Linked DNA regions of Mus musculus: regions 2 and 3 are each reported to be linked to region 1. Evidence: microRNA targets listed by miRTarBase, many of them from high-throughput screens and not tested one by one. Region 1 holds a microRNA gene; each other region holds the end of a gene's coding sequence.
Evidence for each region. The annotated mature microRNA mmu-miR-544-5p reads UCUUGUUAAAAAGCAGAGUCU and lies in region 1 at 2,275-2,295, shown strand. An mRNA with a match to its seed (bases 2 to 7 or 8) in the 3' UTR can be bound and repressed. Matches are read on the target gene's strand: a 7mer-m8 pairs with bases 2 to 8, a 7mer-A1 pairs with bases 2 to 7 and ends in A, and an 8mer does both.

Region 2: miRTarBase lists Rmi2 as a target of mmu-miR-544-5p. Seed matches in the 3' UTR shown: 8mer at 621-628.
Region 3: miRTarBase lists Sspn as a target of mmu-miR-544-5p. Seed matches in the 3' UTR shown: 7mer-A1 at 2,093-2,099 and 7mer-A1 at 894-900.

What each region holds. Positions count from the first base shown.
Region 1 is chr12:109,727,061-109,730,407 of GRCm38, forward strand. Mir544 (microRNA 544) reads left to right here and starts at 2,265; the gene lies at 2,265-2,342. Mir487b (microRNA 487b) reads left to right here and starts at 273; the gene lies at 273-354. Mir539 (microRNA 539) reads left to right here and starts at 1,069; the gene lies at 1,069-1,142.
Region 2 is chr16:10,839,524-10,842,814 of GRCm38, reverse strand. It overlaps Rmi2 (RecQ mediated genome instability 2), which reads right to left. Exons shown (of 2, transcript NM_001162932.1): 2 at 1-2,986. The coding sequence ends at 2,838. Among named protein-coding and RNA genes, the nearest start is that of Rmi2, 6.1 kb to the right of the region's middle.
Region 3 is chr6:145,960,996-145,963,995 of GRCm38, reverse strand. It overlaps Sspn (sarcospan), which reads right to left. Exons shown (of 3, transcript NM_010656.3): 3 at 1-2,866. The coding sequence ends at 2,501. Among named protein-coding and RNA genes, the nearest start is that of Gm32838, 6.4 kb to the left of the region's middle.

The DNA of each region.
Region 1 (3,347 bases):
CCCCTCTCCTTGTCCATATGGGTTGGTCCCAAAGCATGCTCTCTGTGTGTAGCCTGGGTCCCTGCTTTCCCAGGCTGATGGTCAGGTCTGTGCTGGTGTGGGCCGTTGTTTTTTGATGTGCTGCCGTGCCGTGGTACCCAAGTGTGCATGTTCTTGCTTGGTGTGTGTGACCCAGTCTGCTAACGCTCAGCGTCTAATTCGTCCCCAGGACCCTACCTGGAAGACGTAGCACGTCTACCTGAGGCGGTGGCTTTGCTTTCCAGGCCGAGCTTTGGTACTTGGAGAGTGGTTATCCCTGTCCTCTTCGCTTCACTCATGCCGAATCGTACAGGGTCATCCACTTTTTCAGTATCAAGTGCGCAGACTCTGCAGCCTGGCTTCCTGCGCCTGGATCCTGCCACTGCCACTTCCCATCACACATCCTTGGACAAGGGTGTCGCCGTGTTATGCTCCTTGTCTCGTGTGTCACTCGCGAGTCCTCTTGGGGTCCAATGCATATGGCTCTCGGGGGCTGGGAGAGATCAGGCTCTTGTAGGGACTAGGCTCATTATTGACCATGTGCCAGCCCAAACTTTTGTCTGCTGGGAGCTGACTGCTGGCAGCTATGATGGTGATATACAAACCTCTCCTTGGATTTGGGAGCCCATGTTGAGACAGACATTCTCTGTCAGTCATGTGAGTGGGTGTTGGAGCTTAGAGTTTGTGCTGGACTTACAAGGTGGTGCTTGTGACTCGGCAGTGACATCATTTCTGTAGCAGCTTCTAGAACAGAAGACCCCATGCCGGGGGTCAGCAGGGCCACCCACAATGCTTGCTCCACTTAAGATGGACACTGCCTGGCTTCTTGACCCCAGCCACCATTACCCTTAGAAGAGGCTAACGTGAGGTTGTCATGCTGAGTCCTGGGGAGTCATTTCTATAGCCTCTCACCTCCCTGGTGCTTAGAATGGCCATCAGTAGTACTGCATGCATGGTGCATGTATGTATTGGGTGCAGCCACGTGTGAGGAGTGGTGATCACTCCCAAGAGGCCTATGGATGCTGGTATTCCTGCTGTGCTACTGTTTCATACTTGAGGAGAAATTATCCTTGGTGTGTTGGCTCTTTTGGATGAATCATACAAGGATAATTTCTTTTTGAGTATCAAATACTGCCCTGGTGGACTTCCGGGATGACGAGACGGTTGTTTAAAGAGGTGCCTGGTGCATGATGCATGGGTTAGCCTTACCTGGGCACAAGGCAAGAGAGCACAGAACTGATGTGTAAGAGCTACACTCTGATCCCAAGTCAGGATCTTGCTTGAAGAGTCCAGGGGTTCCTACGTGGCTTGGTCATGGTGAGATAGCACAGTTTTCATGACTTGGCAAATCGTTCTTTTTTTTTTTGGATGGGCAGCCAATCTCACAGATAGTCACTGGGGTCAGGCCCCGGCCCCTTGCTCAAGAGTGTGACTGGTTCCACAAGCATGTGCTTGAATGACAGAGGCCGGCGAGCTGTCTGGTCTGGATCGTGAGAGGAGGTCCTGCGGTTTTTCTCGGTGCGGTGGTTCTCTGACATTTGCAGGGTGGCTATCAATAGTGTGCTCGCCATATTTATGGAGATTAATTGGGACGACCATTGTTTGCCCCATATCTGGATTTGCTTCCGAAGGTCCTAGAGCACAGTGGTGACTTCAGCTAATGGACATTGGTACCTGCTGCAGGAGAGGGAGAATTTATTGAGGCAGAGTAACCTCAGAAGGCACCCCCCCCCCCATGTACTCTCACAGTGACAGCTTTGAGGTGGCAACAGCTTTGGTGGCTTGCTTCTTTGTGCTTGGTCTGGAGAACACTGAGAATAACTCACCTGTCTGTTGTTGCTGTTAAGTCTTAGTTCAGAGGAACTCCTTGAGAAGGTACTGGGTCAAGCATCTCTTTAGGTAGACAGAACTTGGCCAGGGTCTTCTAGGTCCAGCACCCACTCTCCTCAGCATCCATTCTGAGCATAGACTTCCTGTGGTTAATACAGGTGTTAATAAGGATACTTCCTGCCGCCGCCGCTGCCTTAAGTCACTCTCTATCTGTTCCTATGGCTTCCTTTGGGCTGACTTTTTCTTAGACATACCTGGTCAATAGCATACCATTTCAGCTCATTCCATAATCTGGTGTGTGTGTGTGTGTGTGTGTGTGTGTGTGTGTGTGTGTGTGTGTGCCTGCATGCATGCTTGTACAAATTGTTGGTTAGTGTAGGGCCTCTCAAACTGCTCAACGCTGCTAAGATATTCGTCACCTAGGGATCTTGTTAAAAAGCAGAGTCTGATTGAGGGGCCAAGATTCTGCATTTTTAGCAAGCTCTCAAGTGATGCTAATGCTGCCGGTCCGTGGACAACACATGTAGCCACTGGGGGCTGGAGGTGATGTTGCATGTTCCTTGTAGTGTGTGTGCTCCATCTCCTCCATCCACCCCGCATTATCCATCATGAGTGAGCATTGAGCCAATATGCTACCTTTTGATGATCAAACTGTGGTCAGTTGTGAAAGGCCACCTGCTGTACAAACACCATTATTGATTATTGATTATTCTTTCAAATCAAAGCATGCCTCTATGGGCTTCCCAGATATAAGAGCTACTTCAAGGAGGGGCTGCCTATGTCAGCCAACAGCAGGACTTGTCAGCACCAGGTTATTGGTGACTGAGACCATCTGACTCTGTAACTCTCCATTTCCAGTCAATTGTAAGGAGCACAGTTCTGGAACCACAGCTTCTGGGGAAGGAGGAGTCCTATCTGTCGTATCTACCAGCAACCCTCGACGTTATCGAGAGAGGTAATGCCCATGGTGCCATTGCCCTTCCATGATATTCGGCCAGCTGCTGGCTTCTTGCCATCCAGCTTACCTCTCAGGGAGGACCAGATAGACTTCCATTTTGTTTCTAAATTGACCTGCCTTAGGAAGCTCTTGTGGGAATGAGTTTTTCCGTCAGACCAGATTTTAGCCCTAGGACCAATGTGTAGCAGTGAGTGGTTGCTGTCAGCTCATGTGCTTTCTTACAGACTATGGGAATTCACCTCTCAGAGTCTAGGAATTCAATTTGTCATTGGAAGAATCTTCTGGAAGGAGAGAGGACAGTAGACAAGAGGCCCCGGTTTTCCTGTCAGAGATCTCTGAGAATATTTGAGGTCATTCATGTTCTGTTTGCTTATTGTGAACGAGACACAGTTAGCTTCCTTTTGACTATCAAACTCTGCTTTTTTGAAGGGCCCCCTGCACAAGCGATATGAGACTGCCTGCCTTGTGTGAGCCTTGGATGAGCCCTGCAGCTCCTTCGAGATGCTCCTTGGATATTCCTGATGGAGAAGACCAACCCCGA
Region 2 (3,291 bases), not on the chromosome of region 1:
CCCCAGCTCAAGATTCCAAGGTCCTCTTTTAGACTCACACACACACAAATAAAAATAGACCTAAAAAATGAATGGTTCAGCAGTCAAACACAGATCACTTTTCAACTTGGCCTTCCTTTAAAAGAAAATGTTAGCACCTTTAACACAGCACTCAGGAGGCAGAAACTCATCTGCTCTACATAATGAGTTCCAGGAAAGCCCAAGTTCAAGGCCAGTCTGAACTAGAGACACTGCCTAAAAAGGTAGGGTGGGGAAGGCAGGGTGAGGAGGGGAGGGAAGGAAGAAGGGAAGGCCAGAGAGACTGACTACTGCTGGCTGGCTGGCTGGCTGGCTGGCTGGCTGGCAGGAAGGCAGTCATGCAGAAAGATGAATCAGCTGGTAGTCTTTACGTGGGATTGTAGGGCACCATCCTCCCAGCACAACAGACATCCATCAGTTTAAAGGTCAGAGGAGGCTAGCTGGTCGAGTGCTACTCTGGCGTGTGTGAGACCCTGGGGACCCCGTGGTCCAACCCCAGTGCCATTCATTACTACTGTTTTTTTTTTTTTTTTTTTAAGATTTATTTATTATATGTAAGTACACTGTAGCTGTCTTCAGACACACCAGAAGAGGGCGTCAGATCTTGTTACAGATGGTTTGTGAGCCACCATGTGGTTGCTGGGATTTGAACTCCGGACCTTTGGAAGAGCAGTCGGGTACTCTTACCCACTGAGCCATCTCACCAGCCCTCATTACTACTATTCTTAAACCCTATTTATTTATTTATTTATTTATTTGTTTTTCGAGACAGGGTTTCTCTGTGTAGCCCTGGCTGTCCTGGAACTCACTTTGTAGACCAGGCTGGCCTCGAACTCAGAAATCCGCCTGCTTCTGCCTCCCTGGGATTAAAGGCGTGCGCTACCACCACCTGGCTCTCTTTATTTTTTAGGACTTATTTTTTTTTAAGTATTTATTTGAAGTCTATATGCTAGGTTGTGAGGGTTTTCCAGGGGCCAGAAGGCGGCGTCAGATGCCTAGGAACTACAGGGAGTTACTGAAGCTGTGAGCTACCTGGCATGGGGCTGGTAAAGTTTATTTATCAACACTCTCTCTTGGGCTCCAAAGCACCCCACGAACACATAACTAAAGATAAAATCTTTTTTTTAAGGCGTCCATGTAAGCAGGCTGGAGGAGCAGGCCTGCAATCCCAGTTAACCAGAGGCAGGAAGATGGGAAATCTGAGGTTGGCCTGAGCTACAAACTGGGCTCAAGGCCTCGATGCTTTTTCTAGGGGGTGGAGGGCAGGAAGGAGGCAGGTCTAGATCACCTGAGTCCTCATCCTCTCTTGTCCCTCGATGTCCATCTCCTGCCAGGTGACTCCTTAGCTTTTCTGGTGACAAGTACCACCTGATGCTCATGGCAATCCAGGTGAGGCTGGGTGTGGGGGCCGAGTGTGGGGTGTGGGCCACACTCTGGAGGCTGCAGCAGGAGGCCTGCCACATCTGGCTAGCCTTGAAGACACAAGAGCTGGGGCTCTAGCTCATGTGTTTGCTTAACACATACACAGCCTCAGCTTCAGTGTGCTTATGGAAACACTTTCTGTTCATTCTTTCCAAAAACCTAAAACTGTTTTAATAAATCAACATTTTAGGCTGGAAATGTGGCTCAGTAATACAGTGTTTGCTTAGCTTGCAGGAAGCCCTGGGTTCCATCCCCAGCACTGCAGACACAGTAGTGCACACCCGTAATCTCAACGGGCTGGAGGGGAGGGAAGAGAGTCATGAGCTGGAGACTACCTGAGCTATATAAGACCCTGTCTTTAAGACAAACAGATAGTAGGGCTTACTTTTAAAAACTACACCACACAAAAAATGTTACTAGGGCCGGGTGTGGTGGCGCACGCCTTTAATCCCAGCACTGGGGAGGCAGAGGCAGGCGGATTTCTGAGTTCGAGGCCAGCCTGGTCTAAAAAGTGAATTCCAGGACAGCCAGGGCTATACAGAGAAACCCTGTCTCGAAAAACAACAAAAAACAAAACAAAAAAAGTGTTACTAGGAAGAGTCCTACAGCAAGACTGTAACATAAGATGGCCTGCTGGGTCTTTGCCATCCAAATAGGAATCTAGCCTGGGTTGTCAGCAGAAAGCCAAACCCAACACTGATACAACCCCAACAGAAAGGCGTTTCATACAGAAAGGAGGCCAGGACTCTAAGCCTACAGGCTGTTCCACCTTGGATGTCTCTCCACAACAGTTTTGAAGCAGAAGTGCTTGAAAAGTCTGTCTCCATCTTGGATTTTTAAGTTCAACAGAGAATTGTGAGAATTCCCACCATTCTCAACAGCTGGCCTCAGCTTCAGTATGAGCACAATGCATATGAGAGCAAGCTGTCAGCAAGGGGCTGGTACCTGTCCCTACAAGTTGGCAATAGCTGGTGATGGGAGGCAGGCCACTATGCCATTCTGTCCTCACATCTGTAATTTTAATCCATTGGCAACAAACTGAAATTCAGAGGTATGGTCAAGGAGAAAGTGTTATCATTCGAAGAACCAGGAAATGACAACATGAGCTTTCCACGAGCTTCAGCAAGAGAAAGGCACACTTTCGCGCGCGCGCACGCGCACACACACACACACACACACACACACACACACACACACACACACGTAAGTGACGGGGGGGGGGGGGGGCATATGCTTTGCAGCAGCAGCAGGAAGGCAGGGAGGAGTGGCTTAGACAACCGAGGATCCAGTTCCCAGGGTCCAGACGGCTGGCTCAACCAAAGCGAATCTCTTCAAGAAACTTTTGTGATGTTCCTGAGACCCATATGGGGGTAAACTGTTCTTAGAGGGTCCCAGCGCTAAGGAATATTCCTGTGTAAATCTTCCACCTCCAGTTCCCACATGCTTTCGTGGACAGGATTGTCAGAAAGATCCGTCATCTTCACGGCCTGCAGGCAGGGCTCAGGACTGCAGGCCTGAACCACCCCCATCACCATCACATACTTTCCTGGGAAGAGAAGAGAAGGATGGTGATGTTCATACTAACAAGGCAGGTGGGAAAAACCAACAGAGACCCCGACCTTGGGGCCTTTATCAGAGAAGGAAGGTCGAGACAGAAACCTTGTCTAGGGCTAGGGAGATGAAGCTTGTAGGCAAAGCTCAGGCCTGGTTGGTAAAAGGCTTGCCAAAGCTTGTGGACCTGAGTTCAGAGGCCCAGCATCCATGCAGAAAAAGCATGGCAGGGTGGCATGCATATGTATGTGATCAGTGTTAACGAAAGGAAGACAGGCCGATCCTTGGGGCTCTATGCCC
Region 3 (3,000 bases), not on the chromosome of region 1:
ACCAGCATATCGTAAGCTCCCAGCACAGGGTCCTGCCACCCGGCTCTGCTCCTTCTCTTCACTTACAGTGCCTCCTCCTCTTTGGGAAGTTAATAATTTGATCATAATAGTAAAATCCCCATCTTATGCAGACAGAATATTATAAGCTGGAACCACCCCAAGCCTTGGTTGTGTTAGAAAAGTAAGAAACCCACAGGCTAAAATTGCTCTACCCTTTAAAATGCCCCCCCCCCCCGTGAGTTGTTTGTAAAGCATACGTTTGTAAAGCTTAGAGCAACTTAACTGTGTGGGGGAATCTTAATTTCCTCATTTAAAAAACAAAAACAAAAACCTGTTGAGTTTGTTGGACAAAGGCATTCTGTGTGTGCTTCCAGCAGGGCTGGGTGCACAGTAACAGGCGTGAAAACAGCGTCACTTTGAAAGGACAGCCCGTGACATCCTGGATTCTCTACCATGTACCATGTTTTATAGAAAACTATCGAAAGTCAGCGTGAGATTGGTTACTCTTAACTGTGTGTGTGCATTCATGGGAAGGCCAGGGGCCAGCTATCCACTCCGGGTTATTTTTAGTGTTGGTTTTTTTCTTGAGACAAACTCTCTCATCATGGACCTGAAGTTAATCACTACACTAAAGATGGCTGGTGAAGGAGCCCCAGGGATCTGCCTGTCTCTGCCTCTGCAATGCCAGGATCACAAGCACACACCTGTGCCTGGCTGTTTTACATGGGATCAGGTTCTTACTGGGATGGCAAGGACTTTGATAACTGAGCCATCTCCACAGCCCGGAGCTGGTTATTCTTAACAAACACTAAAGGTTTCCCAGGTTAGTACCAGGAAGCTTACTGTGGCATTCATGCAATTTTGTCTGAAAGCAGTCCCCCCCCCTTTTTTTTTCTTGTTTTTGTTTGTTAAGTTTTGTTTTTTTCAAGACAGGGTTTCTCTCTCTGCTCTGGCTGTCCTAGAACTTTCTTTGTAGACCAGGCTAGCCTTCAACTCACAGAAATACACCTGCCTCTACTTCCCAAGTGCCGGAATTAAAGACATGTGCCACCACCACCCCATTCCTTTTGGTGGAATTTTACCCAATTACATAGCAAAGTCTGTCTTAACCAAGTACCATGTCTTAACTCTAAACTGAGACTGAATACCCTAACTGTGGACGTATCACCCAAACAAGGGCTTTGAGACATTCTGTCTCTAGGTCAATTGTAAAAGCCCTCATTACTAGGATTTCCCAGGAAGTCCATGTGTATGACAGGACTTAGTACCCAATCCCATCAAAGGTACTTGGTGGTCCTGGGAGATACTTTTCAATATCACAAATGTGTTGTTAATATAAGCATTTCCTGTGACAAATGCTCTTGGTTGTTTCCCCTCTGAGAGTGTTTCAATGTTTTACAAGATCATTTTTTGCAGTGGATGATTTCCAGGAAAGTGGATCTTCAGCCATCTTCCCTTGTGGCTGTAATTTTTCCTAACACCAACGGTGCTGCCTAAGAACAGCCAGAGCTCATTAAACAGAATCCTGAGCATAATTATAATGAACAATTAGCTGGAAATTAGTCTTAATGATTTGTTTTAGATGACAGACTAGAGGCATAATATAATTATTTTTAAACTTTCCTCGTCGTTAAGAATGCAACAGCACCACCTTTCAATTATGGTGAATCAGACCTCACGGAGGCTGCAGCCCACTCGTGGATCGGAGCTAAGGCAACCGGAAGTCTGCACCCCAGCCCAGGTGTTCAGAATCACTCAGCCTTCCTGTTCAACTAGTTTTTTTTTTTTAAAGCCATTTCATGCCTTGAAGACATCTCCACTGTGAAAACATAAAAGCACTCAACTGAGATCCAGCTTTCCTTAGACCTTTCCCAAGACACCACGGGGATAATGGCAGGTGGTAGAGGAGCCGGAAGACTCTAGAGTCTATGGGTGATGCCAGTTCACACCATCGCACTGGACTAACGGGAAGGCGGAGGAGGGTGAGGATGTAAGGGCGGCTGGGATAAACACCAGAGCTAGCGCTGGCTCTAGGTCATCTCTTCCCTGTCTGGTGTTCTTTTCCTTTCGGTGTTCACCAAGTCAATTTGAATCTTGTTTCTCATTAGAACTTTAAAAATAGGTTAGATTCTCTAAATCACGCGTGTGCGCATGCGTGTGCTCCCAATGTCCCCGGAGCTGGAGGTACAGGTAACTGTGAGCCACTGAACTTGGGCTCCGGAACTGAGCTTGAACCCGAGTCCTCCGCAAGAGCAGCAAGTCCTCTTCACTTGTAAGCCGTCTCTCCACCCCTGTCCTCACAAGAAGTTTTTAAAAAGTACAATAGAGATCCAAAAAACAAGTTGTTTTGTTTTCTGAAAAAAAAATCTAAAAATACACATTTAGAGAATGAAAAAGTATTCGTTGTCAAAAGTTTGCCTTTACAAAATTGTGGTTTTTTTCACCTTGCCTAGTCAGTGGGTGTGCCGTTTCTGAGCTTGTCTCCCTCTGAGCCAACCTGTTAGGCCTTTGGTAGCTGGCCATCAGAAGCCATCAGGGAGCGCAGCCCAACACCCACATAAAAGACCTGGTACCTGTGTTTCCACATCACAAAGCAAGCCAGCAAGCACACGAGGCCACAGACCAGGTTTAGGACCATCTGGATGATTAAGAACAATTTGAAAGTGCCAGTGACGCTGGTACAGTCAGTCACATCCCTGTAAACAAAGGCCCTGCTGAGCGGCTCCGAGGAAGGCAGCTTGCACTGGCAAGAATCCAGGGAGGTCTCGCAGGTAAACTGCGCAAGCAGGGAGTAGTGGTGGGCGGCAAAGGCCACAGCCAGCATGCAGACCATCAGGCCGAGGGCACTCAACAGGAAGTAGAATACCTGCAAGAGAAAAGAAATGCTTCCTGTTACAGAGAGGACTGGCCAACCCTGTTTGACTGAGTTCTCCCAGGCAAGGGCCAGTCTCTTCTCAAAACCTAACAACCAAAGCCAAGGATATTACGTCCCACTGTTTA